4 linked regions of the Diceros bicornis minor genome follow. The protein of the gene in region 1 purifies or fractionates together with the protein of each later gene. This does not show direct contact. Links are inferred from orthologs where the notes say so. Each region holds a gene or a part of one and is shown on either strand. Other genes may lie near its edges. The genes, in order: MTA1, HIC1, BCL11A and DNMT1.

Evidence for each region.
Region 2: the proteins of MTA1 (region 1) and HIC1 purify together in Homo sapiens (affinity purification with western blotting; 3 studies listed by BioGRID). This does not show direct contact. The link is inferred for Diceros bicornis minor from reciprocal best matches to the Homo sapiens genes MTA1 and HIC1.
Region 3: the proteins of MTA1 (region 1) and BCL11A purify together in Homo sapiens (affinity purification with mass spectrometry; 4 studies listed by BioGRID and IntAct, counting the BioPlex papers as one, with this or other methods). This does not show direct contact. The link is inferred for Diceros bicornis minor from reciprocal best matches to the Homo sapiens genes MTA1 and BCL11A.
Region 4: the proteins of MTA1 (region 1) and DNMT1 purify together in Homo sapiens (affinity purification with western blotting; 4 studies listed by BioGRID and IntAct, with this or other methods). This does not show direct contact. The link is inferred for Diceros bicornis minor from reciprocal best matches to the Homo sapiens genes MTA1 and DNMT1.

The regions. Positions count from the first base shown.
Region 1 is NC_080763.1:49,836,514-49,843,377, forward strand, and holds the start of MTA1 (metastasis-associated protein MTA1), read left to right. Parts: upstream 1-3,868; 5' UTR 3,869-3,886; coding exon 3,887-3,926; intron 3,927-5,170; exon of another isoform or gene 5,171-5,185; coding exon of another isoform or gene 5,186-5,213; coding exon 5,214-5,281; intron 5,282-6,864. UniProt on the Homo sapiens protein: Transcriptional coregulator which can act as both a transcriptional corepressor and coactivator. Acts as a component of the histone deacetylase NuRD complex which participates in the remodeling of chromatin.
Region 2 is NC_080757.1:15,773,381-15,781,261, reverse strand, and holds the start of HIC1 (hypermethylated in cancer 1 protein), read left to right. Parts: upstream 1-4,876; 5' UTR 4,877-4,995; intron 4,996-6,449; 5' UTR 6,450-6,469; coding exon 6,470-7,881. UniProt on the Homo sapiens protein: Transcriptional repressor. Recognizes and binds to the consensus sequence '5-[CG]NG[CG]GGGCA[CA]CC-3'. May act as a tumor suppressor. Involved in development of head, face, limbs and ventral body wall.
Region 3 is NC_080751.1:26,591,436-26,598,682, forward strand, and holds the start of BCL11A (B-cell lymphoma/leukemia 11A), read left to right. Parts: upstream 1-4,231; 5' UTR 4,232-4,559; coding exon 4,560-4,614; intron 4,615-7,247. UniProt on the Homo sapiens protein: Transcription factor. Associated with the BAF SWI/SNF chromatin remodeling complex. Binds to the 5'-TGACCA-3' sequence motif in regulatory regions of target genes, including a distal promoter of the HBG1 hemoglobin subunit gamma-1 gene.
Region 4 is NC_080769.1:8,952,974-8,960,127, forward strand, and holds the start of DNMT1 (DNA (cytosine-5)-methyltransferase 1), read left to right. Parts: upstream 1-4,143; 5' UTR 4,144-4,189; coding exon 4,190-4,269; intron 4,270-4,480; exon of another isoform or gene 4,481-4,757; coding exon of another isoform or gene 4,758-4,813; intron 4,814-7,154. UniProt on the Homo sapiens protein: Methylates CpG residues. Preferentially methylates hemimethylated DNA. Associates with DNA replication sites in S phase maintaining the methylation pattern in the newly synthesized strand, that is essential for epigenetic inheritance.

The sequences.
Region 1 (6,864 bases):
AACTTGCTTTATACAGTTTCCTTACTGTCAAAAGTCAAAACGAGAAATGCGACCTCCATTCCGGCCAGATTTGCAGCAGGCGTATTTCCTGAGCTCAAACTACAGTTCCAGCAGTGCTTCCTGGACCTCAGTGCAAGTGCAAAGGAAATTTCTGTATTTCAAAATGCATTTAACAGTGTTGAGGAGCTCCCACCCAACCTTCATTTGAGAGTGATTGATCTGTAATGCAATTGCATGCTACAGTTCATGGTCCCCAGGACCATCCTCAAGTTCAATAATTTGCTGGAAGGACTCACAGAACTCAGCAAAGCAATTATACTCATGGTTACAGTTTATTACAACAAAAGGGTACAGACCCAAATCAGCAAAAGTAAGAAGCACGGAGGTCAGTGTCCAGGAGAGACCAGTTGCAAGCTTCCAGTTGGCCTCGCCCGGTGGAGTTGTGGACGGTGCATAATTCTCTCAGCCACCATGAGTGACAGTATACACGAAGTTTGCTTACCTGAGCCTCAGGGTCCAGGTTGTTTATCTCAGGTTGGTCACATAGTCGTGGCTGACCATCTGTGGCTGGCCTTAGTTGCCCAGTCTCTAGCCCTCCAGAGGTTATGTCCCCTGGTCAGCAGAGACTCTTATCAGGCAGGACACTCCAAGGGCTTTGAGGTTACCTCCCAGGAGCAGGTCAAGGGCCAAACCTTACTTTGGAAGGTGCAGAGTGTGGACAACCCAGGCCAGTTGAATTAACCCTTTACTGCACATAGGCTAAAAGGAAAATGTCCAGAGAAAAATCTAATGGAGTTCAGTAAATACCTTCCAAGTGATGAGTATGCTCCATTAAAACTGTATACCTGTAGTTAGATACCAGTATTTGGCAGCACCCATCTGCGTGGAAAGACGTTCACGGATGAAACACATGAGATCGCATCACAGATCAGCATGCACAGGGGAGCATTTCCCATTGATTTTGATGACAGCCAATGCTAACTTTGAACTCCAAGGAAGCAAAATGTCCTCCCCCCAGAACAGGATTCAGTTCTTATTAGTAGACCCATATTATTAGACACCTTTACTTGATTATTATTGTTTTAATTTAATTTCATCAGTAAAAAGTTTGTGGCAATGTGTTGTATTAGTACCTACATGGTATCCTTGGTAAAGTATTTACCATCTGGCCCTTTACCGAAAAGGTTTGACAACCTGTGTTCTAATCCATGGTACCTTATGTTACTGTTTATTGAGATCTTCATTGATTTTTCTGACCAGTGTTTTGTAATTTCCAGCATATAGGTCTTTGCACAGAACTTTTGATCTTTAAAGATCTGTGGACCATTTGTAAACTGATGCTTAAGTGTGGGATGTGTCTTGGAGCTATTGTAAATGGTACTTTTTATATACTATTTTAGTATCCTATGAGCTTGCTGAATCCTTACTCTTTAGTTTTAATAGCTTTTTTTGTAGACTGAGAAGTTCTGTGTAGACAGCCATGTTATCTGCTTGTAGAAAGTTTTGCCTGTTCCTTTCCAATCTGCATGCTGTTCATTTCCTTGTTTATTTCTCCTCCTTGCACTGACTGGGACTTCTAGGTGAACAGCAGTGGAGACAGTCGACATATTTGCCTTCTCCTGATTTTAGGGGGAAGTGTTTCATCATTAAGTGTGACGTTAGCTGTAGGTTTTTTGTAAATGCCTTCTATCAGGTTGAGGAAGTTCCCTTTAATTCCTGGTTTGCTTAAGAGTTTGTATCAGGGGGCCAGCCCCGTGGCGTAGCGGTTAAGTGCGCGCGCTCCACTACTGGCAGCCCGGGGTTCAGATCCCGGGTGCGCACCAACATGCTGCTTCTCTGGCCATGCTGAGGCTGAGTCCCACATACAGCAACTAGAAGGATGTGCACCTATGACGTACAACTATCTACTGGGGCTTTGCGGGGGGGGGGAAGAGTTTGTATCAGGAATATGTGTTGGATTTTGTCAGATCTTCTCCAGTGTCTATTGAGACGGTCATGGTTCTTTAGTCTGTTGACGTGATTTTCAGTGTTGAACCAACCTTGTATTCCTGGATGAATCCAGGGGTGGAGATTTATTATCCTTTTTTATATGTTACTAGCTTCGATTTGCTAATGTTTTGTTGAGAAGTTTTGCATCTGTGTTCATGAGGGGCGTTGGTCTGTGGGTTTCTGGTGACATCTTTGGTTGCGGTGTCGGTGTGATGCTGGCCTCGTGAGCCAGTCGGGGAGTGTTCCCTCCCCTTCTGCCTTTGGGAGGGTTGGTGTAGACTTGGTGTTAAATCTTTCTTAAATGCTTGGTAGGATTGCCCAGTGAAGCCATCTGGGCCCGGAGGTTTTTTTGTGTCTTTCTTTTTCTTTTTGGTTGTTGTTGGGAGGTTTTAGTGTATGAATCAGCTTCCCTGCTCGGTGTGGGGTGGCCTGTTTCTTCCTGGGTGAGCTTTGGTCCTTCATGTCTTGCAAGCACTTGGTCCATTTCATCCACGTTGTCAGATTGACTGGTAAAGCTGTCTGTACGTCCCTTCCTGCCCTTCTCACGGCAGCAGGATGTGCAGTGATGTCCCCTCTCGCATTCCTGGTGTTGGTTATGTGTGGCTTCTCTCTTTTCCTTATCAGCCTGACCTGAAATTCGTCGATTGATTGTTTCAGTGAGCAGCTTTGGTCCCATTAATTTGTCACCACTGCGTTTTACTCACCTTCGTTTTTTCTTTTTTTGCTGAGGAAGGTTCAAGTGGTGTAGGTCCATGCCTGGAAATCAAACCCGGGCCGCCAAAGCGGAGCAAGCCGATCTTAACCACTAGGCCACGGGGCTGGCCCTGGCCTTGGTTTTTGCTGGTTATGATTTCCTTCTGGCTTGTTTGTTTTCCCATTTACAGAAACGCAATTGGCATACAGTAAAGCCCTCTCCTTGTAAGTGTGCAGTTCTGTGAGTTTTGGGAAATGTCTACAGTCATGAGACAGCCCAGTTCCTGTCTCCAAGCCCTGCAGGCCCGAGTGGTCACCCCTCCTGCCACCTGCAGCCGCTGGCCTCTTCTCTGCCCTCTGGCTTTCCTGGGCAGGCACTGCGCCACCCGCAGCCCAGGAGAGCACCCTCGAGTGTCATCCGAGCACAGTGTGACCAGCAGGACTTCAGCTGGCACTGCCAAGGAGGCAGCCATTGGACGGACGGACCCGCTGCTGGTCTGTCTGCTCCCCACTTGAGGGGAACATTTGGGTTGTTTGCAGTTTTTGGCACATATGAATAATTATTTGAGGTTTAATTTGCTCTTTATGTAGTTTCTTAGAATGAAAGCTTAGATGATTGATTTGAGATCTTTTTATAAAAACCACTTTATTGAGATAATTTTCATTTGATAAAATTCACCCATTTTGCTTGTACAGTTCAATGAGTTTTAGTATTTTCATGAGTTGTACAGCATCACCACAATCTAAATTCAGAACATTCCCATCACCCTAAAACAAACCTCGTGCCCATCGACAGTCATCTTCTGTAGACGCCTTTGTTTTCAGCTGACCTCTGAACATGGCCCGCTGAGGGCTGCGGCTAGGCTCACTCTGGGTGTTTAGTCTCGTTGCTCTTTTGTTCCGTGGAGCTCCCTGAGGGCGCAGCATGTCTGATCTACCCGTGTCCTCAGGGCAGCACAGGTGAGCCCGGGGAGTAACGTTCACAGATGTGTGCCCCCTAGGTGCGTGCCTGCAGGTGCATCCTCACAGGTGTGCACCCGTAAGTGTGTCCCTACAGGTGTATCCTCACAACCTTGTGCACCCACAGGTGTGAACCTGCAGGTGCATCCTCACAGGTGTGTCCTCACAGGTGTGTCCTCACAGGTGTGTGCCCCATGGATGTGTCCCCACAGGTGTATCCTCACAGGTGCGTGCACCCACAGATATGAGCCTGCAGGTGTGTCCTCATAGGTGTGTACCTGCAGGTGCGTGTCGACAGCAGGAGGCAGATGCTTTTTCAGACCCCTCCACAGGGTCCAGGCAGCACAGGTGGGACCTCCCATGTGGACAGGGCTGAGCTGGCTCCTTCGGCATTTGCTGGTCTTACTGCAGTTTGCCAAATCTGTGCCCAGTTGTGGGCATTTGGGCCATATCCAGGCTTTAACTGAATTCCAGCTAAGAGGAGCCTCCTGGTTGGCCGTCTCCTGCAGGGCTGGCCCAGCCTGCGACTGCAGGCCTCCTCCATGGGTGGGGAGGGACGTGGTGAAGAAGGCCTTCGCATTCCTGGTGCAGGTTGGCAGGGACAATGGCTTGGCCTGCTCCTGGAGCTGAGCCTCCCCTGAGCTGCTCCAGTATGCCTGGAGCATAAAGGCGTCGGCTGGGCAAGCCAGGCTGGCAGGTGGGTGGCCTCGTGGCTGTCCTGGGGTTTCCAGGGTGAGCCTCCTGACCTCCCACTGTGGACCTCTCAGAAATCTCGGGAGACTGCCAGCATCCCTAAGCCAGACCCTGACTCTCCCCCTATGGAGCCTGTGGGAAGCCAGAGAGCACATGTGGTTTGTCTGTGAGGAAAGTTTGTACTGACCTGATGGTCTAGGGGACCCATCAGGGTGCTGTCGGCACCCTTTGATCTCGCTCCTCTGGGAGACTGACAATGTCCCTGTGCTAGCAAGCTCTGCCTGGTTTCTGTCCTCCCTCTGCCCCGGAGGCCCAGCCTCCGTTCACTGCTTTTGTTTTTGGAGGGAAAGGTCGAGGGGCATGGGGGGATGTGCATGGAGTTGGGGGAGGAGACACAGGGATCCAGCAGCCCCCAGTGTGCTGGCATGGTCTCTGGCTGCAGCACTCTTGGGCTACCCTCCAGGCCAGCAGCAGCCTCCTGGGAAAGTGTCCCCAGGGGGAAGGTGTCCTAGGGGACAGTGTCCTCAGGGGGAGGCTGCAGCCTGGCCCCCATGGCCTCTCTTGGGAGGGACAGAGCTCCTGGTGTTGGGACCCACGGGATGGGGAGGGCTGCTGGCTCCTGCCTGGAGCGGCCCCCTCCTGCCTCGTCTCGGGCCCTTGCCCAGCACCCACTGATGTGGTTCTGGTTATGTCATCTCTCCCCTGAGACAGTGGGGCCTTCACCTCCTTCATTCCCTCCTGATCCCTAGCCCCCAGAACCGAGGGTACGAGGGAGTGGAGGGGGGTATTTGGGCTCCCCTGGGTCCCTGGGGCGGTGGGAAATTCTGAGTGTGGCAGGCTCTGCTGTGGGATGACGCTCTCTCTGTACCTGTTTGCAGACTATGTGTACTTCGAGAACTCCTCCAGCAACCCTTACCTGATCCGGAGAATCGAGGAGCTCAACAAGGTAGCGTGTGTGTGTGCGGTGTGCCTGGTGGTCCCGTCCCTGCCGGTTGCGGGGGCGGGGGGGGGCAGCGTGCCCCTGCCCTTCCTGCGGCTCTGCCTGGGGCCATCGTCACAGATGAGACAAAACACGCCCCCAGCCTCTGTGCCGTGTTTGCAGGGGACTTCTTGGGTTGGCCCCAGACTGGCCACTGTCTGCTCAGACCTTTGGGTGGCTTCGTCCCCAGGATCACCTGCCTAGACTGGGTGCTCCTCCTTGGAGAGCCCATTAGTGAGGTCCCTGGTGGCCTCACTTGAGGGACATGCTCAGGGGGTGCCTGAGCAGAACAGAAGTGCTCAGAAAGCGTCTGGATTGGACGATTCTGGAGACCAGCCAAAGAGCCAAGGAAGCGGCCTGGGCAACCATAGCCCGAGGGTGCCTGTGGGATCCATGTGCCTAGGGGTTCCCTGCTTGTCTCCTGTCTCCCTCCCTGCTTACTTGGGCCGCCCTCCTCCCCGTCACTCGTCAGGCACTTGCAAGTTGGTCAGGGAAGGGGGTTGTGCTGTACTGGAGGCTGGGTGAGCCCAGAGCCCACCTGGGGCCTGGGATGCAGTGGGAGTGGGCTGACGGGTTGCGAGCCCCGCTACTCCCCCATCTCTCGGATTCAGAATGGCCTCCGTCTTTGGTCAGAGCCTGTCGCATCCTCCTGGCCAGTGGGAATGAGCAGTCTCCCTCCGACCCAGAGGTGTGAGCTGCCTCCCCTCCTCTCCTGCTGGCCTCGTGGTTGGAGGTGTTCGTGGGTGGCGCTGGGGGAGAGGGCAGGCGTGTCCCTTCCTCGTCCGTGGACATGGCCACAACGATGCAGGGTCAGCGGAGCCCCTGGACCTGCAGCTCCTTCCTCCCTGGGCCTCTTCCCTTGATTCCTGCAGAGCAGCTACTGAGCTCCTCTCTGGAGCAGCCCCTCTCCCGGAAGCACCCGTTGTTACTTGTGCTGGCGAGGGGGCCCTTGCTGTGCCTCTGTGAAGCCAGCCCTCAAGAAGCTGCTTTCTTAGACCTCAGGCTTTGTGACAGTGTGGCTTGGGATTCTTGGGACCAGGCAGGATGGGGTGGGAAGGTCAAGTGCTGACCCACAAGGGTCAGACTTAGCTGCAGCTGAACCTGACCCCTTGGCCATGCTTGCCAAGGGCCTCTCCCTGTGGCATCTACCACCACCACCAGGACAAGGAGAGTCGGAGGGGTGCCTGTGTCCCAGCCTGAGCATGTCAGGCTGGTTGGAGTGATCTGGCAGCTCCTGGAAGTTCTGGGGCCAGATCTGGAGGTGGCAGGGGCAGGGGAAGCGACTGGGACATCCTGTGAGGCCACTGCACTGCCGGAGCTTATGCCTCTGCAGGCGCCTCGTTGGCGGGGCCCTGCTCCCAGCTTGCCCAAGCCACAGGGCCTGCGGGAGAATGGGCAGCTGGCCTCCTCAGCTGGAACAGGAGCAAATGGTCGCCCATCTGCACGTGCCGGCACACACTGACGTGGGGACATGAGGAAACAGGCACAGAGACTCCTCAGATGGCAGTGGAGCACGGTTGGAGGGGCTGGGTGTCCACACGTCCTCCAGG
Region 2 (7,881 bases), on another chromosome or scaffold:
CGGACCTTCACTCCCCGCCCCCGCTTCCTCCTGCTCCAGGTCACCCCCATACCGGGCTGGCAATGCGCGGCGCGGCGCGTGGGCGTGCTGCGGGGCGACCATGGCTGTAGACTGTTACCTCCGGTTCCCACAGTAACAATCGAAAGCCACGGTTGCCCTGGAGACGCGGGGGCGGGGCGCGCACTACTGACGGCATCGCGGCAGCTCCAGTCAGGCTGACGTCAGGACCGCGGGGTGGTGGGGGGCGGTGGCGGGGCGGGCGGGGGGCGGCGCGCGCGGCGGGGACCGGGCGCGGGACTGCTCGGGGGCTGTGCGATGTGCCTGTGGGCCGGCCGCCCCCCTCAGCCCCTGGGGACCAGCAACAGGACGACCCGATGGCGGCGCCTGAGCTAGATCAGCACCGCGGACAGCGGCGGCGTGGGCAGCGAGCGCGGGACTGGGAGACCCCGGGGACAGAGGGGCCGGGGGCGCGGCAGGCGGCCGGGTCCGCGGTCCTGGGGCGGGGCCAGGCGTCGGTGGCCGTGACTGGAGACTGTTACTGAGGGCGGCCCGGGCAGTAAGCAGTCTAGAGCCAAGGTGCCGGCGCGCTGCCCGGGCGGGAGTGCCTCTGTCGCCCGCAGCTGGGGGCGCTGCTGCTCTTCCTCCCCCGCGTCTCCCGCCCTTCTCCGCCCCGGCGCTCGCGGACAGGCACGCGGCCCTTGACGTCAAAGCCCTGTGACGTCAAAGATGTCCCTGCGGAGAGGCACTTCCGGCGGCAGGGCGGGGGGGGGGGCGTCGGTGGGGGTGGGGCGGGGCCGTCGGGCCGAGGCCCCGCCCCCGCCTGGTCCTGAGAGGACAGCTCCTCGCGCAGAGGCGGGAAGTCGGAGGCGCTGAGGGACCAGCCCGACGGGACAGGGTGGGGAGGGGGCGCCCCGGCTGAATGCGGGGCGGGAGTCCCGAGAGAGCTGCGGCCCGGGTGGCGGGAAGGTGGGCGTCTGTCCCTGGCCGGGGCCCCGGCTCAGCCGGCCAGGGGCAGCGAGGCTGAGTCACCGTGCTGCGGGGAGGAGGAGGAGGGGGCGCCAGCACCTTCGCCCCACTTTCTTGGGAGAATGGCGCAGGAGCGCCAGGAAAAGCCGCGGGGACTCTGGGGTCCGTCCTCTGTTCGATGCTCCTCCGAAGTGGCTGCGTCTCCATCCAGGAGCGGGCAGGTGCTGCACGGAGTTCCGTGTACGCCTCCGGCCCGGCTCCACCAGCTGCGAGGGGACCCTCGGCCCCCACCCTGTCCCCAACCCCAGCCCCGTAGAGGCCCTCCAACCTGCTGCTTGCTGGTCTCCTCCTTGCCCTCCTGTCCGTGTCCGTGCATCGGTCCATCTGTCTCCCGTCGGTCGGTCATTCCCGCTTACCTGTCGAGCCGCGTCGCGCCCGCGCCCGCGCCCGCGCCCGCTCGCCTCCCGCAGCCCGGCTGGCGCGGCGGCTTTTATAGGAGCGCGTAGTACTCGTGCGGCGGCTCATTCATGCGGCCGCGGCTCCTACACACTGACGCGCTGCCGACGTCAGCAGGGAATTTAGGAAACGGGAAGAGGGGCTATTTATAGTGGTGAGGCGAGGAGGGAGAGTGGTGGGGACCGAGGCGACAGGGGGCTGAGAGGGGGAAGAGGGCGCACGGAAGCAGGAACGGGGAGGGGGAGCCCGCGCCCCCTGTGCCGGTCTACCAGGGGTTAATTTTCCGGAACTGCGGGCTGGGGGCCGGGGGAAGGATAGTGCTGGGATGCGGGGAGGGCGGACGGGTCCGTTACATGTTTATTCACTCTGGGACACCTAGGGGCGCAACCCCATCCCGCCCGCCTTTCAGAGGTCCTCACCAGGTAGCCCCCATTCCCATTCCTCACTTCCTGGACCCGACCGCTCTGTGAAGTCACAAGATGCCCCGCAGCGGCGTTGTACAGCAGGGCCACTGCGGGGGGCAGGAGAGGAAGCTGGACCCGCGGAGGGGCCTACGGCAGCATCTAGAGATGTGGCGTCGGGGAGATGGGGAAGAAGAGTGGGGGAGCCCAAGGGTCCCGGAAGGCTTTGTAGGAGGAGGCTGGGCCTGGGAGGGAAGGCCCAATGGGGGTCCAGGTACCAGTCAGAAGTTGGAGACCCAAAGGAAGGCAGAAAAGTTGAGGAGGTGGCTTGGACTCCCCAGAAATGAACAAGGGGGTCCTCTATGGGACAGTTGGGAAAAAGGTGGCAGGAGAAGGGGGCGAGAGGAAGAGGCAGCCTCATCAAGTGGAGGGGAGGAGGACAGGTTGGCAGTGCCATTTTCAGAGCCTAGCACGAAGCAGACCGCGTTTAGGACCCATTTGTGGAATAATGGGAACTGGCAGAGCTCAGATAAGGATGATAACGAGTGAAGGAGACCAAAGGCTCAGCAGCTTGGCAGAGTGGGGTCTCCAGGGGGCGGCGGGGCAGAGACCACTTCCTGGAGGAGTTACAGTTCTTGGAGATCACAACTGGCAGGAAGGGCCCACACCATGTAGTCAGAGTTCCCCTGGACGGGAGCAGGGAAATGAACGACCCTGGCTTAGCCTAGCTCCATCAATTGAGGAAGTCTCCAAATGGGGAAGGGGGAGAGTGTGCAGATTGAGGAGCTGGACTGGGGTGAGGAGGGGTCAGCACCAGCCAGGGCAGGTGGAACTAGGGAAGGAGGGAAAGGTCAAAGTTTGAAGAAGGGAGAGGTCCATAGGAGGGCAGCTAGGCTGGAGGAAGTTCTGTGAGACCCTCCCATACAGATGTAAGGACAGCTTGAGGGTAGGGGCTGGGGCAGTGAGTTAACTTGGGGAGAGTGTTGAAGAAAAACAAAGACAGTGGGCACAGCGGACCCTAGGGTAGGTTCACAGTGGACAGACTCAACCGCACAAAAGAGACGTGGGGCTGAGGGGCTCCTTGTGGGGCTAGGATCTGGCCCCATCAAGAGGATGAAAGACTACAGCAGAAATGGGGTCAGAGAGGTCATGCACACTTTGGGATCTGGCCTTCTAGAGTTCCCATTTTTTTTTGTATCCAGTCTTTGTCCCAGTGGTTCTCATCTCCAAGGAATGCCTTCCTGCCTGGGGGAAGAACTCCTATTCATCCATCAAAGCCCGGCTCTAAGAGCGCTTCTTCTGAGGAGCCTTCTAGTCTCCCCCCAGCACTCCATACATTTTTCCACCTCAACGCACCACATGTCCCTCCGCCAAGATGTGGGGGTCCGTCTCTCCTAGAGGCCGGCAGCCCCGGAGCCCACAATTTTCATTCTTGGAACCTCACTACTTCTCTAGTGAGGAGACCGTGGGGAGACAGAGGAGAGGACTGGGATAAGACGGATCCAGAACACGTAGTAGAAACAGGGTGAGGGCAGACTCAAGACACGAGGGGAGTCAGAAGGTCCCGCGGGGACCAGGAACCGCCGCCTGGCCCCAAGGCCATGAAGTCGCCTGCGGAGGAAAGTGAGCCTCTGGGGGGCGCCTGAGACCTTGGTGTCTGTCAGCGACCGCGAGTGGCTGCGCTGGCAGCCCCTCAATGAATGACTCAGCCACTACCTCTGGCGGGGGCGTGGGGGCGGAGGACCGCAGCCGGGCGGCGAGCGCGGCCCCCACCTGCCCCGCGGCCCTGCTAGTTGCTAAGCTCTTCAAGGCCTTGGAGAGACGCGATCTGGGCGAACCTCATCGGTTACTATGGTAACTGAGCCCCAGCCTCTCGCGCGCGGCGGCTGAGGGAGGAGCAGCCAATCAGAAGCCGCAGGCGTTCTCGGGGACCCACTCCCACCCCCAACGTGTGGGCGGGGGTCAGGAGGTGCGAGGAGGAGGCGGAGCGTGGGCTGCGGCGACCCCGCGCTCTCTACAGGCCCGTTGCAGCGGCGGGGCCGGGCGCTGACACTTCCGGAGTAGCCTTGCGAGTGTCCGATCGCCAGTGCGGGGTCCCCTCCCTCCGAGAAGGGGCGTCACTTGCAAGAACCCGGCCTTTACGTGGGGGTGCGGGACCTTGCGGGGGATCCCGGGCTGCAGGCCCTCCTGTCACGGGTCTCTCGCGTCGGTGGGTTGCAGACGAGGTGGCCCAGGCATGTCCCTCGGAACGGCTCACACGGGGAATCTGGGGGCTGGGGTCGCTTCTGCGGGACCCCCAAGAGGCGCTGTCCAGCCATTCCCTGTCGAATATCCTGGGGTCCTTCCAGAGACCTGCAAGTTCAGGGCGGGCTGTTTGGGTACCACGTCTGCCCAGGTCCACGGAGAGTCCTACGTGGCAGCCCCCGGAATGTCCCAGAAAGCCAGGGCTTGGACTCCGGAAGGGGGCAGGTGTGTTCTGTGCAAACAGGCGTGCCCGCAGGTGTCAATGCCTGGAGACGGTCTGGGTGCAAACGGGTTTATTCTGTGCATACCTAACCCATGTGGCTGAGTGAGGGTGGATGTGTTGGGGTGGTGGGTACAAATGGACAGTTCCATCTAGGAATGTCTAGGGAGAGTCACCTAAGATCTTGTCTACCTTCTTCTCCCTTAGGATTTCCGTAACCTCCTTCCCACCATCTACTGTCACCAGAGTCCCCTCCTTGCGGGCAGGACTTCTCTGAATAGAAATATGTAAATGGGAGCGTTCAGCTCAAAACCCCAGGGTTTGTGGGACTCGCAGGTCCGGGGCCTGGGTCCCCAAGTGGGCACATCTGGGGGAGTGAACCTGCGAATAGGCCCCCCTCCCAGGTCCAGCTCCGCAACTACGAGCCTCCAATTCAGGTACGCGGGAGGGAGGTCGCGGCTGTGCCGCGCAAAGCCCTTCGCGGCCGCGAGGTGGCGCCATAGCTGCAGCAGCGCCCCCCGGACCGGGCAGCTCCAGATAAGAGTGTGCGGAAAGCGCGGCGGGGCTGAGACGCGACCAGGACGCGGGGAGGACGGACCAGCAAGACAGACCGACCGGGGGCCCGGCGGGCGGAGGGCAGCGCAGCGCAGCCACGTCCCCCCTGGATCCGCTGGCAGCCGGGCCCGGGGCTTCCGACATGCCCCCCAGGTGGGTCCTGGGGCTGGGGACCAGGAGGGACAGAGGACCCGGAGAGCCCGGTCCTCGCGCCCTGGCCGCCTCGGGCGCATCCTCCGGCGCGGGCGCCCCAGCGCGGCTGGCTTTCAGGGCTCGGGGTGTCGCCCCTAGAGGACTCAGGACCTCTGGGCCGCTGCTCTGCGCCGGGTTCACGGCGGGGTCAGCGGCCCGGGGCCGGCTCTGCCCGCACATGGGCTGAAGAGGCTAGGGGAAGGGAAGGGGAGCTGGCGGGCGGGGCTGGCAGGGGCGCTGCCCTGGCACAGCTCGGCGCCTGGCAGCGGGGCGGGTGGGGCCCTGGCTAGGACTGCCACCGCCTCGGGGAGGGAAGCCCGGTCGGGCTGCGGCCGCAGGTAACGGGCCGCGAGGCCCTGCGGGCCAGGCGGGGAACAGAGTCGGGCGGGCGAGCGGGCGGGCCGGGGAGCTCAGGGATCGGCTCAGGCCCTGCGACCGCCTGGCTGCCGAAATTGGGAGCCGAGAGGAAAAGCTGGGAGCCAAGGGACCGGGGCTGGCGCGCTCCTCCTGGCCTGTCTGAAGTTGGGAAACTTTTCCCCAAGTTTGGGACGGCGGAGTTCCCGTGGAGAAGGGGCCGAGGAGAGCTGGGGAGGGAGGCGCCGGGCCCGCGAATGCAGAGCAGAGGCCGAGGCCCGGGGCCGGGACGCGGGTGGGGCGCAGGCCGGGGTCAGGGCCGCAGCCGGCTGCGCGCCGTGCCCGCCCGGGGCGCTGCCCCCTCCCTCCCCTGGGAACTGCGTGGCTCCCCCCTCCCCCCCACCTGCTTCCTGCCTCAGCCTCCTGCCCCGATATAACGCCCTCCCCGCGCCGGGGCCCGGCCTTCGAGCTCTGCCCAGCAAGGCAGCCGCTGCCTCCTCTCCCCGCGCCGCGGCTGCCGCCCGGGCCCCAAATGAGGGCCTGACAGCCCCGGCCAGGGCGGCGCCACGGCGGGCACCGCGCTCCCCTCCTCCGGATCACTTCCCCCAGCTGGGGCAACTTCTCCCGAGGCGGGAGGTGCTTTTTACTCGACTCCCTTACATCCCACTTAGGCAAACTTCTCGGCCCTGAATGACTTTTCCTGAAGCGGACATTTTCCTCAAATCGGGTAACTGTCTCCTAAAGGGTCACTTCGCCCGAACAGTTTTTTCCTCGGAAGCCCCCACAAGCCAGCCTGTCTGCCGGGCGGCATCCGGGCCCAAAGGTGCAGGCCCACCCGGCCTTCTCTCCACTAGCCACTCTCCTGCTCCTTCTTCTGGGCCAGCCGGCCCGCCCAGGCTCCCACACTCGGAGGCTGCCGATCCTCCGCCAGTGCCCAGGCCGCGGTGCTGATGCCCCGGCCTAGCCGAGGGGAAGGGGAAGTGGAGGGGAGAAGCACCGGGCTGGGTCCAGGCAGCAAGGGCTCCCTGCGGCTCTGACCCAGCTGGTGTGTGTCCCCGCAGGAGATTGTGCTGGGCAGACGATGCTGGACACGATGGAGGCGCCCGGCCACTCGAGGCAGCTGCTGCTGCAGCTCAACAACCAGCGCACCAAGGGCTTCTTGTGCGACGTGATCATCGTGGTGCAGAACGCCCTCTTCCGCGCGCACAAGAACGTGCTGGCGGCCAGCAGCGCCTACCTCAAGTCCCTGGTGGTGCACGACAACCTGCTCAACCTGGACCATGACATGGTGAGCCCGGCCGTGTTCCGCCTGGTGCTGGACTTCATCTACACCGGACGCCTGGCTGATGGCGCGGAGGCGGCGGCGGCGGCCGTGGCCCCGGGGGCCGAGCCGAGCCTGGGCGCCGTGCTGGCCGCTGCCAGCTACCTGCAGATCCCCGACCTCGTGGCGCTGTGCAAGAAGCGCCTCAAGCGCCACGGCAAGTACTGCCACCTGCGGGGCGGCAGCGGCGGTGGTGGCGGCTATGCACCCTACGGGCGGCCGGGCCGGGGCCTAAGGGCCGCCACACCCGTCATCCAGGCCTGCTACTCGTCCCCAGCCGGGCCTCCGCCGCCGCCCGCCGCCGAGCCGCCGTCGGGCCCCGAAGCCGCCGTGAACACGCACTGCGCCGAGCTGTACGCCTCAGGCCCCGGCCCGGCCGCTGCCCTCTGCGCCCCGGAGCGCCGCTGCTCCCCGCTCTGCGGCCTGGACCTGTCCAAGAAAAGCCCGCCGGGCTCCGCGCCTTCCGAGCGGCCGCCGGGCGAACGCGAACTGCCCCCGCGCCCAGACAGCCCTCCCAGCGCCGGCCCCGCAGCCTACAAGGAGCCGCCGCTGGCCCTGCCGCCGCTGCCGCCGCTGCCCTTCCAGAAGCTGGAGGAGGCCGTCCCGCCTCCGGACCCGTTCCGTGGCGGCGGCGCCAGCCCGGGACCCGAGCCCCCCGGCCGCCCCGACGGGCCCAGCCTCCTCTACCGCTGGATGAAGCATGAGCCAGGCCTGGGCAGCTACGGTGACGAGCTGGGCCGGGAGCGCGGCTCCCCCGGCGAGCGCTGCGAGGAGCGCGGCGGGGACCCGGCCGCTTCGCCTGGGGGGCCCCCGCTAGGCCTGGGGCCGCCGCCGCGCTACCCGGGCGGCTTGGACGGGCCTGGCGCGGGCGGCGACGGCGACGACTACAAGAGCAGTAGCGAGGAGACGGGCAGCAGCGAGGATCCCAGCCCGCCCGGCGGCCACCTCGAGGGCTACCCATGCCCGCACTTGGCTTACGGCGAGCCTGAGAGCTTCGGTGACAACCTGTACGTGTGCATCCCGTGCGGCAAGGGCTTCCCCAGCTCGGAGCAGCTGAATGCGCACGTGGAGGCTCACGTGGAGGAGGAGGAGGCGCTGTATGGCAGGGCCGAGGCGGCTGAAGTAGCTGCCGGGGCTGCCGGCCTAGGGCCCCCTTTTGGAGGCGGTGGGGA
Region 3 (7,247 bases), on another chromosome or scaffold:
TCAAGGTGTTTCCCCCTAAAGGCAGACAGTGAATATTTTATTTTAATCTTGTAGTTTCCATCGAGACAGACCTTTTAACCCTTCCTTCTCCTGCTCAGCCCGAGTCCCCGCGCCAGGCGATCCTCGGCTCGAGGGCTGGGACTGTGTGAAGTCTCCTTCCTGGAGCTGTTTGTTGACCACATTCACGTTCAGAGCCCTGGAGCTAAAAGCACTTTACACCATAAAATAAAAGCACTGTCTTTTTTTCGAAAAGGTTACGTCTGGAGGCCACGCGGCTCATACTTCATACCGAAAACTACTGAAAGGACTATGAAATCCTCTATGATTTACACTCTCTCACTGCATTAGGGTATAGATCTACTCGACTCTAAAAATACGGTGGGTTTCTAACCGACGTGAATATATGTGCATTATTTCAGAAAGTCTGTTAGAAAACTTGTCAACACATTATAAAGCATAAACCAGGACTTGGCTATTAAGTACGGAGATCAGAGGCAGAATACATACTGCAGGAAGTCCTGGGGAGTCTCCTCCGCGGGCAAGATAAAAAGGGGGAGGAGGGGAGGGGAGGGGTCGTCTGTCGGCCTGGAGTTTACACGCAGTGTCGTCACTAAAGGTTGGGGAAAGAGCCCACCGAGCGTAATTACCCCTTCAGTGGAATCAGCCAAGGTTCGACAGCTCCAAATGAAGTTAACTGAACGGCCAGAAAATTTTAACGCTGTCATAATTTATTACTTTCTAAAAGCCACTTTTGGAAAGGTAAATATACTTATTGTGTATCCAAGTGTGCGCGTTTAAAGTGACCTTTCACCCCTCGACAAAACCACCTGCATCATTAATCAATACTTATGTAATATTTTAAGCCTCTTAAAACAACATATTTTTATTTCTTTAAACACACGTACAAACCCTCCCCCTCCCCCACTTTGGGGCGCTTTAGCGAGCATCCAGCAGCAATGAGGGAGGGGGCGTCGCTCGTAGGGGCGAGCACGAGGGACCGGGAGTGGGGGTCCCGGAGCAGGAGGATCAAATGCCGATACACAGCCCTGGTTTTCTGGACTGGGTGAAATCAGGCTGGGGGAGGGGCGTGAGCGGAGGGCAGCTACTATTTCACTCTGGGCATTTTATGATGGTGAAATTAAATATATGTTAATGGTGGAAACGTCGCTGCGTACCTCGGCATTGGCACCCGGGGAAAGCAGCTGCAAAACTGAGTTTTTAATGTGTGTTTTAAGATGTGGTTTTGGAAGGAACCCCCTGGAATCTGAAACAAGTGCAATAACATAGCAGACCTACTTGTAACTAAGTGCTTAATTTCCTATGATTTTTTAAAAAAGAAAATCAATAAAATGTTGCCAGTTATTTATTGGAAATAACCACAGATAGCGGCCCTGATAGGGTGCCGGTTTTAGAGAGCACACAATTGTGTAATGAATTGTAATTCAGAAGACTGTTAAATGTGAACCACAGAACCTTTCAGAGGTAATAAAGTCATTACTTTTTACACTACAGCCAACTCTGAAAAGCTTTATACACACCATTGTATATAAATCATACATATATATTTCCACAACACACATTCGCCCATTTATACACCTTCTCTATATATGGACTTTTATGGATGGATGGGAAAAATATTTAAATTTGAAAAGCTCAGTTCTGAAAGAATCTGACTTACTATTGTTACCTGAAGGGGCTTTTGTTTTATTTATTTATTTTTCAAAGGCCTCCCAGTTGCACTTTCTTCTCTCTCTTCACCTTTCCTCCAACCATTCTCCTCCAAGTCTCATCCCCCGCCCCCCCCCCGCCAGCCCCCCCACCCCCCGCAATGACATTCTTTTGGTCACTCTAAGGCTAGTTTAACAAGACAAAAAAATAGACGGTAGTGGAAGAGAGATGCTGACCTGCTCTGAAGAACTCATGAAAAAGGGGAAATGGTGCAACGCACAAGCTACAGAGCTTTACTGCAAGTGCATCTTCCTGCCTCTTAAACAGGATTTGAGTCCCCCCCCCTTAAACTGGAGGGAAACAATAACAACAAACCACATTTACACAAACCCAGTTCAGCCCACATCTCTCCTAACGCTGAGCATCAAAACCTCCTTTTCTTACTTAGAGGGGCCCGAAGCTTCGCCGAGCCAGGCAAGCCAGTCATTTTCTAATAGGCTTGAAACTTTACTAAGACAACACATGAATAAACAGCCGCTTGCCGGCGCGGCTGGGAGGTGGGTGCGCGCGTGCAAGCCGGGGCCCTCGCTTAAGACAATAAAGCCCCCCGCCCGGTGGGTGAATTTACGAAAAAGAGGTCCCTTAGACTGAGGAGGGGGAAGAGAAGACACGAGGGGTTGTGGAGCCGCTTGGAGGAGAGGGAAGGAAGGCTCCTCGCTCTGCAGACACACACTCACACACGTCCACCTGCAGCTCGGAGTCTCGCGGGCCGCGGCGACCCGCCTCCACCCTGCACCCTCCGCTCCTCCCTTGGACTTGAGTCCGTTTTCCTCTCCCCCCTGCCCTTCCGGATTTGGAATCGCAGCGTGGTCTCGGCGGCGGTGGTGGCGGCTGAGGCTACAGGGTGGTGCAGGCAGGCAGGGAGGCTGGGAGGCGGGAGACGCCGGGGGACTTTGCAGGCACGTTTCTGAATAAACTTTCCAATCGCAGGGGGTGCTGTTGCTGTACATTTTACGTAAAACTGAAAGTATCCCACGCCAGAGTGAAGCCCGCTTTTTGACAGCGGCAGCGTGTGTGTGTGCGCGCGTGTGTGCATTAAAGAGACAGGGGTTTATTTCCAACAGGTCTTCCCTAATTTCCCGCGAACCTCTGCGGAAAGGCTAGGGGAGGCTTCGGGCTCCAGAGTGGGCGCCTTGACCCGGGGCGCCTGGGGAGCGCGGCGCTGACCCAGGGCGGTCACCCCACCACCGTGGCCTCCCCGCTGCTCCTGCGAGCCAGTCGCGTTCTCTCCATTCCCCATTTTCTTTCCCCACGTAACAGCACAGTAATAGTTGTGCTCTACCAGTAAGAAACATTTTCTTTCCATTCCTCTGCGCGTTTGCAGTTGCTTAGGAGTGGGAGGGGGTGTGTCCTTCCCTGGGACCCGGCTCGGGGACCTCCCGCAGCGCCGGGAGCACGTTCCCAGGGACTGGAACTCCCAGGACTGCCCGTGCTTTGTCCTCTGGCCCGCGGTCCCTCGGTGAGGTGGACGCCTCGGCGCCTCCTTCGCCTCGGGCCCTGGCGCTCCCCTCCGAGTGCCCCGGGTCTGGCTCCTCGTTTCTGTATTCCTTGGCCTCTCTCTCTTTCTGCGACCCTTGGGAGCCTCGACTCTGTGCTTCCAGTTGCATTCAGACCCAATCGCTTGTTGGGGCGCTCAGATCCCCGGCCCCCCGGCTCGGCATTGGGGGCGCCCTCTCGGCCCTCCCGCTCGGGCCTGCACCGCTTCCCTCGCCTTCGCCCCCTCTCTCCAGGCCGCCCGGGCTCCAGGAGGCCCCGGCGCTGCCCTTCCGGACCCCAACCCTCCAAACTTGGGCTGGACTCCGCTTAGCCGCGCGCTCCCTCCCGCCTCCCCTCACCCGCGGCGGAGCTGTAACTTGGAGGCTCCGCTCTCAACTTCGGGTGATTTTTCTTTGCTAGCCTCTCCTCGGGCAAAGTTTCCGGAGCGCAGCCGCGGGCTCAAGGCTTTCACTTCGGCCCCGGCGGCCGCACGCGGGGAGCGAGCGCGGCCGCGGCGGCGGTGAGGGGAAGTGGGTGTGCGCAAGGAGGAGGGTGTCCGGGAGCAACTCTACCTGGCTTCCCTCCGCCCGCGCTTCCCCGGCCCGGGGCTGCAGCCTCCCTGTACGCTCTTGCCTTTTTTTTTTTTTAAATAATCTTTCATTTTAGGGTTGGCGTGCGGGGGTGGTGGTGCAGGGTGCACATCTTGCTCCCCCCACCCTCGCTGCCCCTTTCTTTTCTCCCCGCCACGCCGCCGCCTCTGCGCTCGCTGCGGCCACTGGTGAGCCCGCGGCCCCAGCGCCCCCTCCCCTCCGCCCGCCCCTCCCCCGGGGGCCGCGTCTGGCGTCTGCAGAGCCCCCCGCCCCGCACCTCCCCCGCCCCGCACTGGCCATTGGCTTGTCCTGGTCTCTTTTTCATGTCCAGCCCCTGATGTGTGTCCATTGGTGTGAGCTTCCCCTTCCCTCCTCCCCTTCTCTCCTGCTCGCCCTGCCCATGTTTTGTGTGTCTCTGTCCATCCAGACTCCTGACGTTCAAGTTCGCAGGGACGTCACGTCCGCACTTGAACTTGCAGCTCAGGGGGGCTTTTGCCATTTTTTTCATCTCTCTCTCTCTCTCTCCCTCTATCTTTCCTCTCTCTTTTTTTTTTTTGCTTAAAAAAAAGCCATGACGGCTCTCCCACAATTCATCTTCCCTGCGCCATCTTTGTATTATTTCTAATTTATTTTGGATGTCAAAAGGCACTGATGAAGATATTTTCTCTGGAGTCTCCTTCTTTCTAACCCGGCTCTCCCGATGTGAACCGAGCCGTCGTCCGCCCGCCGCCGCCGCCGCCGCCGCCGCCCGCCCCGCAGCCCACCATGTCTCGCCGCAAGCAAGGCAAACCCCAGCACTTAAGCAAACGGGAATTCTCGCGTAAGTAACCCAATAATAGTAATAATAATTATTAATAATCACGAGAGCGCGCAGGACGAGAAGCAAGAGCGAGGGGGAGAGAGGGGTGTGTGCATGCATTTAAAAAATTTTTCAGGAGAAAAACCTCCGAGAGTCGGGATAAAAGAGATTAAAGGGAGGAAAAAAAAACCCCCAAACCTCATCCCATCCCGAACCATAGCCGTATGTACACTTTGGAATTGCACGCACCTTTTAATTTTATTTAATTTTACAAAAATTTGACTCCTCCTCTTTCTTGCTTTCCGCTGCTTTATTTCGCTTTTCGGAAAGGAATGCAATGATTTCCCCTCCAATTTTGCAAAATAATGAACAATGCTATGGATGCGAACAACTCTCCTGCAAACCTGGGGGAGGGACCTGGAGGGGAAAGGGGGGTTGCTTCCACTCGACGAAGGAAGGAAAACGGGGAGTGGGGGAGCAGGGAGCCCAAGCCTAAAAAACAATTTCCAGGGAGAAAAGAGGTGAGACTGGCCCTCGGACACGAGCGCGCTCACGGTCAAGTGTGCACTGGGAGAAAGTAGTCATCTCCACAATAGTGAGAAAGTGGGATTGTGGGAGGGGGCCCCCGGCGCTCTGGAGTCCGCCGAGTCTGGAGAGGTGCCGCGGCGGCAGGGAGAGCCGGGCGACCGCGAAGGACGGGAGACGCGGCCGGCGCTGCCGCCTTTTGTTCCGGCCTGAGGTGGGTGTTTGTCCCGCTGCCTTTTGTGCCGGCTCCTCGCGCTTGCCCTCCCGCGCCGCCGCCGCCGAAGGGCAGGAGCAAGGGCCGGGGGCGAGCGGGAGAGGGAGGGAGGGCGCCTGGGCCGCCGCCGCCCGGGTTGCGGCTGCCTGCCCCTCCCGGCCGAACCTCAGTGGCGGCGAGAAGAAGTGCAAAATAAAATAAAATAAAAATAAAACAAGGCAAGAGAAGGTAAAATTTCTTGCCCCAAACCAGAAGCCAAACGCTCCTCCGGCGGTTTTCTGCAACGCTCTCCTTTTTGAGTCCCCCACCCCCCCTGCAAAAATCTCACAATCTCTACCGGAGTTAAAAAAAAATACGATTACCCCCTTCCCCAAAACCCTTTTAGTTGCAAACTTAGAGCGCCGGCGGCACGGAGAGGGAGCGAGGAACTCCCTCCTCTTACTATTTTTTGGAAGATTTTCAAAAAAAGTGGAAGTGGATTTTGATTGGGAAAAATCTCGTGTCTGAATGTTTACAAGCACCGCGTGTGCGGGAGCCTGCTGCCAACAAACAGACAGAGGACCGAGCGCGGCGCGGCAGCCCGGGAGCGGGCGGCGGCGGCGGCCGGGCCTCGCCGGGGCCTCGCCGCGCCCCCGCCCCGCCCGGGATCGCCCACTCGGCGCCCGGCGCCCGCCCGCCGGCACAGCAGCAGGCCGTGCCGCGACTCCGCGCCAGCCGGGTCCATGGTTCCCTCTCGCCCACAGCACAATGCCCAGACCTCCTCCCCGCCAACCCGACTGCGAAGTCGGCTGGGGAGAAACTCGGCTTTGCAAAGCATTTTTATTTTGCAAAGCAACTGAAAAAGCGTGTTCTGCGCCCCCCCCTCTCCGCTCCCCCGGATTCTTGTCCACAGCTCAGGACTGCGGGGAGGTCACCACGTGCTTTCCCTGCCCCCCTCCCACCCGGCCTTGCCACCAGCCCCCGACTCCCGAGCGCAGCCAGGCCAGGTGGGGGGAGAGCTGTGTGTGGGGGAGTGGGCAGGGGAGTAGTACGTTCTAGTATGCGTTTTGGGAATGCTAAATCCCGGGACTCTGCGCACCCCACCTTGAGTTCTTGCCCTCCACCCGGGGCCTGGCTCAGTCGGGGTGGGGGGGCTCCTTGTGAATCTATATAAGGGGGTGTGTGTGACTGTCTCCTGGCTAACAGAGTGCGCCTGGAAAGGTGGACAGTGGGCACTTAGGAAAGTTTGGCAGCAAGAGAAAGAAAAGCGTGAGAGGGCCCACATCCTTTCCCCACCTCATTCATGACCCTTATTTTAATTTTTGATGCAATTTTAAAGGACCACCTATACCCAGTTCTGTATTTTTTAAAGGGGTGGGGAGTGCGCACAGAGAATTGAATTTTTCACTGAGACCTGGAACTTGTCACACACTTCGGAAGTTCCCCCGCCCCGGCACGTTGCGGGGCCCTCCCTCTCCCCACCCCCGCGCATCCCTCCCTCGCCGCTCTCCCCCGCCCCCCACTCCCCCGGCCGCGCCGGATGCGGAGCAGACGCGGCGCGCAGCGGTGTGAAGTTACAGCCCGGCCAGGTACCGGCGGGAAGGATGGGCAGTGTTCGCAGGACTCGGGAAAGCCGGGCCCTTCTTCGGAAGGATGCATTGGGGGCTCAAAGGACAGACAGGCTTGCAGTCCAGGCTGCTCCCCGACCCCCCCGCCCCCATCCCGGGGTCTATCTCGGGACACTCCAGTCTGGGTGGGTTAGCCCCTCTCCCCCGGTTTCAGTGAGGGCTTTGTGTTAAGGGGCCGGTTTGGAGAGGTTGCGGGGTCGCTCCTTTCTCATTTTCTGGGTGCACAGAGGGGGCGGGAGCCATTCCAGTCTTCAGGACCCCCTCACCCCCCATCCTCCGCTTCTTGGGATGAATGAGCCATTTGGTCG
Region 4 (7,154 bases), on another chromosome or scaffold:
GGAGGCTGGGGGGGTGTCCAGGAGAGACTTGAGGGTGACCTGGGCTGGGGCAGTGGCCCTGGAGGGGCAGATCAGCTAACTCACTCAAGGGCTGTTTGAAGGGAAAACCCACCGGGCTTGGCAGCAAGTCTCTTGTGGTCCCGTACAGAAAGCCATCAGCCTGCTTAAGTGCTCTACAAGGAGCAGGCAGGTCCACCCAGCACACCCCAGAGTTGGTTTCCCCAGATCTGATTCCTGGTCACTTGAGCCCAGAGAGGGAGCTTGCGAAGCCTGCCCTGCTGGTCTTCCTGCCTGGCCCCTGCCTGGGGCGAGAGTGGCAAAGTGTCCCCATCGAACCCTTGAGTGCTGCTGCCGCCATCTGGGGCCTCCTTTGGTCCTGGCACCAAGCGAGAGCTCAGTTGCCGTGACTAATGCCCCAGCATGTGGCATGACTCAGCTCTGGCTTTCTGACTGACTGTGGCCCAGGACATGTGGCCATCTCTCCACTAGCCCTGGTGCTCGGGGCTGACACCTAGCCTTTCCTGGCCCCTGGAGTGTGGCCCTCCAGCTGGAGGCTGGAATACGGCCTGGGAAGCAGGGAGGTGGGCCTGACAAGTCTCATGTCAGGGGTTCATGAACACTACTTTAGAGACCAACAGGTGGAGGTGGAGTAAATGCACCTGAGAGCTGAACCTGGCTGCTTCTGGAATTTCCAGTCCCTTCTCTCAAGGGATGAGCCCATTTCTAGGTGGAGGTCTCTGGTGGTCCAACCAGTCACTCTGGAGGCTCCCGGAAGCCATCAGCATCCCTCTCCCCATGGCTCTGGCTGACATTTCTAGTGGTCAGGTGAATTGAGTGAAGTGGATGACTCAAGGACTAGAGACAAACGAGGCTTTGCAACCTTCTCTGATTTGGGCCTCAGTTTCCCTGTTTGTGAAATGGAAATCCATTGTTGTGGGGGAGAAAATAGCTTCATACCCACCAACCTTTGCATCTTCACTGTACATCAGGCACCTGCTTGCCACCTCCTACGTCCTATATATTCAACCAATCTTTGGATTCCTACGGAGTGAGCCCTTGGAGGGCCAGCTGTGAACGAGGCAGACCAGGTCCTTGCCCTCTGGAGCTCGTAGTCTTTGCAGGGGTCAGCATGCTAAGGCCCATAAGCTAAATCCGGCCCACCATCTGTTGTTGTAAATAAAGTTTTATTGGAACACGGCCATACCTATTCGTTGACTGTCTATGGCTGTTTTCATGCTACAATGGCAGCATTGAGGAGTTGCAACAGAGAACGTGTGGCCTACAAAACCTAAAATATTTACTGATCCTTTAGAGAAAAAATGTGCAGACCCCTGCTCTGCTCTAGTGAAATAGACATACTATGATGACAGTAAATAAGAAACTCTCTGACAGTGGTAAACTCTATGAAGGAGCAGGGTAATAGGCCAGAGTGAGAGGTCAGGGGGAAGCCTCTGAGTAGAGGCAACCTTGGAACTGTGTGAATCTCCCAGAAGAGTGGTCTGGGCAGAAGTGAAGCAAAGGCCCTGGGGCACATAAGAGCTTGAAAGACTAAAAGTGAATCAAGAAGCTGGAGCTCAGTGAGGTGGTGGTGGTAGCGGGATGAGATGCATCCAGGAAGGACCCTGTAAATAGAGTAAAATGCTTAGATTTTATTTGAAGGGCAATGAGAAGTTTTGCAAGGTTTTAGTGGGGAAGAGAAGAGAAGAAGGATATGTCCCCCCACCCCCCTTTTTTTTTAAAGCTCTCTGGATGCTGTAGTCTGGGAGACCAGGGAAGAGGCTACTAGAACAGTCCAGGCAAGTGATGGAGTGATGATGGAATCTCTGAGGAGGCAGCAGAGCGGATAAGCAGAAAGACCCGGGTTGTATTTTAGAGGAGGAACCAACAGAGATTGCTCACCTCTTGCATGTGAGGGGAGGAGAGGAATTAGAGATGGTCTGAAGCAGCACCTTGAGAGCAGATCAGCAACGTTGGCACCAAGTGGGGCAAATTTTGATGTCGCTGAGCCCTTGCCCCATCTGTAAAATGGGTCGAATCATCCCTTGACAAAGGGATCACAAAGAAGATCCGCCTGAGAGGACATCCTGCCACTACATGCAGCTGCTCTTCCGAGAGCTGAGGCCCTGACAAGCAGGTCTGCTTGTCTGTGTCCCCTCTCTCCCCCATCCTGTGAGCACCCCTCTTCCTAAGGCAGCTTAGGGGCCCAGATGCTGGTTTCCAGCAGGTCTACGGGTCCTGAGCCTCACTCTGGCCAGACTCTCTTCTATCTGTCCCCATCCTCAGCCCGGTTCCCTCAATGCTGTCCCTTTGGCCTCCCAGGGGCCTGACAGCTGGCCAACCCTGGGGTTTCTCTTTCGCATTCAGGCTCTGGAGCTCAAGACACCAGGATTCATGGTCCCTGCTGCTTACTGAGTCTATGATCTTGGGTTAGCAGCCTCTGAGCCAGACTCCTTTGTGACAAATATCCTAGGCCATGGGAAATGGGGTCCTGACACCCCCCCCCTTTATGCTTGTTAAGGATGAAATTAAATAACTCTTAAGAGCCTGGTACAGTACATAAGTGCTGATTCCATATTAAATTAATAGCTATTAATTTTTTTGTGAGGAAGATCAGCCCTGAGCTAACATCCATGCCAATCCTCCTCTTTTTGCTGAGGAAGACCGGCCCTGAGCTAATATCTATTGCCAATCCTCCTTTTTTTTTTTTTTTTTCCCCAAAGCCCCAGTAGATAGTTGTATGTCATAGCTGCACATCCTTCTAGTTGCTGTATGTGGGACGCGGCCTCAGCATCGCCGGAGAAGCGGTGCGTCGGTGCGCACCCACCCGGGATCCGAACCCAGGCCGCCAGTAGCGAAGCGTGCGCACTTAACCGCTAAGCCACCGGCCGGCCCCAATAATTCTATTTTTAATTTTTTGAGGAACCCCCACATTTTTCTATAGCAGCTGCACCATTTTACATCCCCACCAACAGTGCATGTGGGTCTTAATCTCCACATTCTCGCCGATGCCTATTTCATTCTTTTGATCATGGCCATGCTAATAGGCGTAAGGGGGATAGCTCATTGTGGTTTTGATTTGCATTTCCCGGATGATGACTTAACTTGAGCATCTTTTCATAAACTTGTTGGCCGTCTGTGTATCTTGGGAGAAATGTCTATTCAAATTATTTGCCCATTTTAAACCAGGTTATTTGCCTTATTGTTGAGTTGTAAGAGTTCTTTATATATTCTGGATATTAATCCCTTATCAGATAAATGGTTTACAAATATTTTTTCCCATTCTATAGGTTACTTTTTCACTTTGTCGATTGTTTCCTTTGCTGTGCAGATTTTTAGTTTGTAGCCCCATTTGTCTATTTTAGCTTCTGTTGCCTGTGCTTTTGGTGTCATATCCATGAAATCACGGCCAAATTCATTGTTGTGAAGCATTTCCATGTTTTCTTCTAGGAGTTCTGTCATTTCAGGTCTTATGCTTAGGTCTAATCCATTTTGAGTTTTTGTATATAGTGTAAAGTAAGGGTCCAATTTCATTCTTTAGCATTTGGATATCCTGTTTTCCCAACACCATTTGTTAAACGGACTAGCCTTTCCCCAAGTTCTAGTACTTTTTTAAATACACAGGATGTGGAAGTGGTCCGGGCTTCCCCACACTGTGAGATCCTTGGTGCTAGCTACATATTCTGTGCAGCCTCAAGCTTTTCTGGAGTAGGTGGTATTAGCCCCTTTTTACAGATGAGGAAACTGAGGCTGGGTCCAAATGACCCTCCCAAGGTCGTTAGAGTGAGCAAACAGGTGGTGGTGGGGTTGGAACTGAGGACTTTAACTCAAAAGCCCACAGGCTTGAATCTCGTGGGAATGCTCCCCGTTTTATCCCCAGCCTGCGGGAAAGAATGAATGAATGAATGTCTCGGGCAAGGCTCTCGGCAAACGGCGGAGCTTGGACGAACCCACTGCTCCGCGCGGGGGTGTGCGCCTGACTCGCGCATGCGCAGCCCCCGCGCACGTCCCGCTCCACTACGTCCGGCCGCACATGGTACGGCCTCTCTCCGCGTGGTACGTCCCGCCTTCCCCCACGCCCAGGCCGAGGTGGTACGCGCCGCCTCCGCTCGCCGCCCCTCCCCGTCGGTTTCCGCGCGCGCGAAAAGCCAGGGCTGTCTGTGCTGCTGCCGCCTCTGCTGCAGTTTCCAAGATGCCTGCCCGCACCGCCCCAGCCCGGGTGCCCGCGCTGGCCTCCCGGGCCTTCTCACTGCCCGACGATGTCCGCAGGCGGTAAGTGCCACGGGGGCCCGCGAACGCGGGGGGTGGCACAGCGCTGGGGGGGGTCGCTTCCCCGCCGGGTAGCCTGTGGCCGCCGCTGACAGACGGGCGCGCATGCGCGGGGTGGCGCGGCGCGCGGCGGCGGTTGGCGCGGGCAGGGTGGCACTTCCGGTCGCGCGCGCCCCTGGCCGTTTGGCGCCAAAATGGGCCGAGGCACCTCACAGCTCCCTGGTGCCTAGGAACTTGGGGTCTCTTCTGACCTCAAAGTAGAGCAAGCGTTGGGGTCGCCTCGGGGGTCCCCTTCCTGGAGCAGCCGCGGGCCGGGCTCCCGCCGCCAGCCTGGTCGCACAGGAAGTGGGCAGCCCGCGGCCTCAGGACACCCCTCGGCAGGGCACTTCGGCCTCCGCTTCCGGTGCCCGGCCCTCCTGGGGGGTCGTGCCGGCCCGGTCCCCGGGGTCGTTTCGGGGGGCCCCCTCGGCACCCCCGCGCGGCGCATCCCGATGGCGGCTTCCAGAGACGGACGTCGCCGGTCGGGGCCCGGGCGCGGCCGGCTCAGGTTTGCGAGCCCCGTCTTCCTTGGGGGGCTCCCGCCATCGTCTCGGACTGCTGGGAAGTCACATTCTGGAAGGAACTCGTACCGTGCAGCGCAGGGCCAGGGCTCAGGCAGCGCGAAGGCTGCATGGTCTTTTCTAGTAAATCTGTGCCCATGAGCCGTGGGCATCAAGGAAGCCTTGCTGGGGAGAACTGGCCGCACTTTCCAGTGTGTGTATTTAGGGGGCAGTTTGGGGTCGCTGATGTTGGGGACCAGCTCAAGCAATGCCGTGCACATGGGTCAGTGGCACGACCATTGGGCCCCCCCTTCTTGTTCTAGAAGGGCTCCCATTTCAGTCCTGAAAACTTGTACCCCTCGCTTGGAACGCTGATCACGGGAACCTTGACCAAGACTGAACACTTCCAAGCGGATTGGTGACCCCGCTTTTGCCATTTCGCTGTGCTTGTTTTCTATGGCTGTGCCAGGCCCGTTCTGATTTGGGCTTTTCAAAGTGGAGTGTGTGTGGGGGTCTCCCTACTGGGTGTTTAAGGTTCCAACCACTTCTTCACCACAGTTAGAGGGGATGTGTCTTGCTGAAGAACCCCTATCTGGATCCCCCCAAGATATAACGTAACTTAAAGTGGAAATGGAATCATGGAAGTCCCTGGCTTCATTTTAGACCCAATACAGAAAAGTTGGGGTCCAGCCTCCTTTCTCTGATGGTGAGAACGCTCCCTCCATTGGCTTTTTTGACTTTGGGCACAAGTGTCATAAACAAGCCCCAGCTGTGGGCTAAGATTGACAACATGGGCTTTAATTTTATTTATTTATTTTTCCCCCAAAGCCACAGTAGATAGTTGTATGTCATAGCTGCACATCCTTCTAGTTGCTGTATGTGGGACGTGGCCTCAGCATGGCCAGAGAAGCAGTGCGTCGGTGCACGCCCCGGATCCGAACCCAGGTCGCCAGCAGTGGAGGGCGCGCACTTAACCGCTAAGCCACGGGGCCAGCCTGACAACATGGGCTTTAAACTGGCATTGGATTAAATGAGAATATGCCTGGCACCTGAAAGCCCACGTGTTAGCATTGTTATCAGCTAATTTAGCTTACTTTCCGGTCTGCGAATCAGTCACTGATTGTATAAAACACTTTACATTATCGCATTTAATCAAGAGTCCTTAAGAGTGGGTGCCACAGGCATCCACTTGGAGGAAGCGGGAATTCCTGCTGAGGTCTGTTTCGTGCCAGAGCCTTTCCCTTCAACGAGGAGTTTCGAACAGCCCACTAGCTCGGGTTTTATTGGGCCGGAGCAGTGTTCTGTTTGGCTGAATTTGAATGTTCTTAGGTTTGCAATCCACCATTCACTCTAGCTTCCATCTTACTTGGAACTAGAATTGCCTACTGTAGGTATGGAGTTGTGGATTTCTGCCTTGGACCATGTGGTAGACGTTGAAATGGTCAGCTTACATGACCCTCGATAGCTTTTCTTACATCTTGAATTTCAGCATACAAAATACACACATAAACATGGCATTCATCACTCCTTTAAACTTAGATTCATAAACGGAGGTATAACTCTTTTTGACCCACGAAAATTAGACAAGTGTAATCTATAATATAAGAGGAACCTAAGTCCAGTAGAGTGTTCTAGGAACAAAATTGAGGCCTGGTCCTCATGTATGCGTTTCTGTCACTTCTGCTAACTTGTGTTTATATGGCATCTTTTAAAACTCACAGAGTCCCATTAGATACGTAATGATACTAGCAAGTATTTAATGTTTGGGTTTTTAAGTCTTGAACTGCTTTTTGGAAGTGTTATATACGCTCAGTCTTCTGAAAATCAGGCTTTTGAGGACAAGCCACATTTCTCCACTTGATGTTTCTTACTCTGTCCAAGCCGCCATCATTTGTACAGAAGAAGCGAGAGTCTTCCTGCTGTCACTGAGGTCTGTTTTCTATAAGTGGAAACTGTGATCCTCTTACAACGTGAGTTGGAGCCGGTGGTTTTTCCCGCCCAGCACGCTGCCTGGTGCTCTTGACCTGGAGTCTGGAATCCCTGTCCACTTGCGTGACTCAGTCTTGTGCTCATCTCCTCACAAGCCACGCAGGCCTCCTCTGAGGTTCTCGAGGCCTGAGACCATGCAGAGTGACCAGTGTGAGGCTGGCTGCTGTCCATTCATCCGTAAGACTGTGCTCAGAAAGACAGTCCCCTTCCCCCACAATGAGAAGGGTGTTGAAATATGTCCGTGCACCCCATGTGCTGCCTTTGCACCCTGGAGTTGGTAAAGGTTTGTTTCCCTTCTTCATTGTATCTGCAGCTTGGTGTACAGTAGACTCAAAGGCCTGCCAGCCTTTCCCCTTTAAT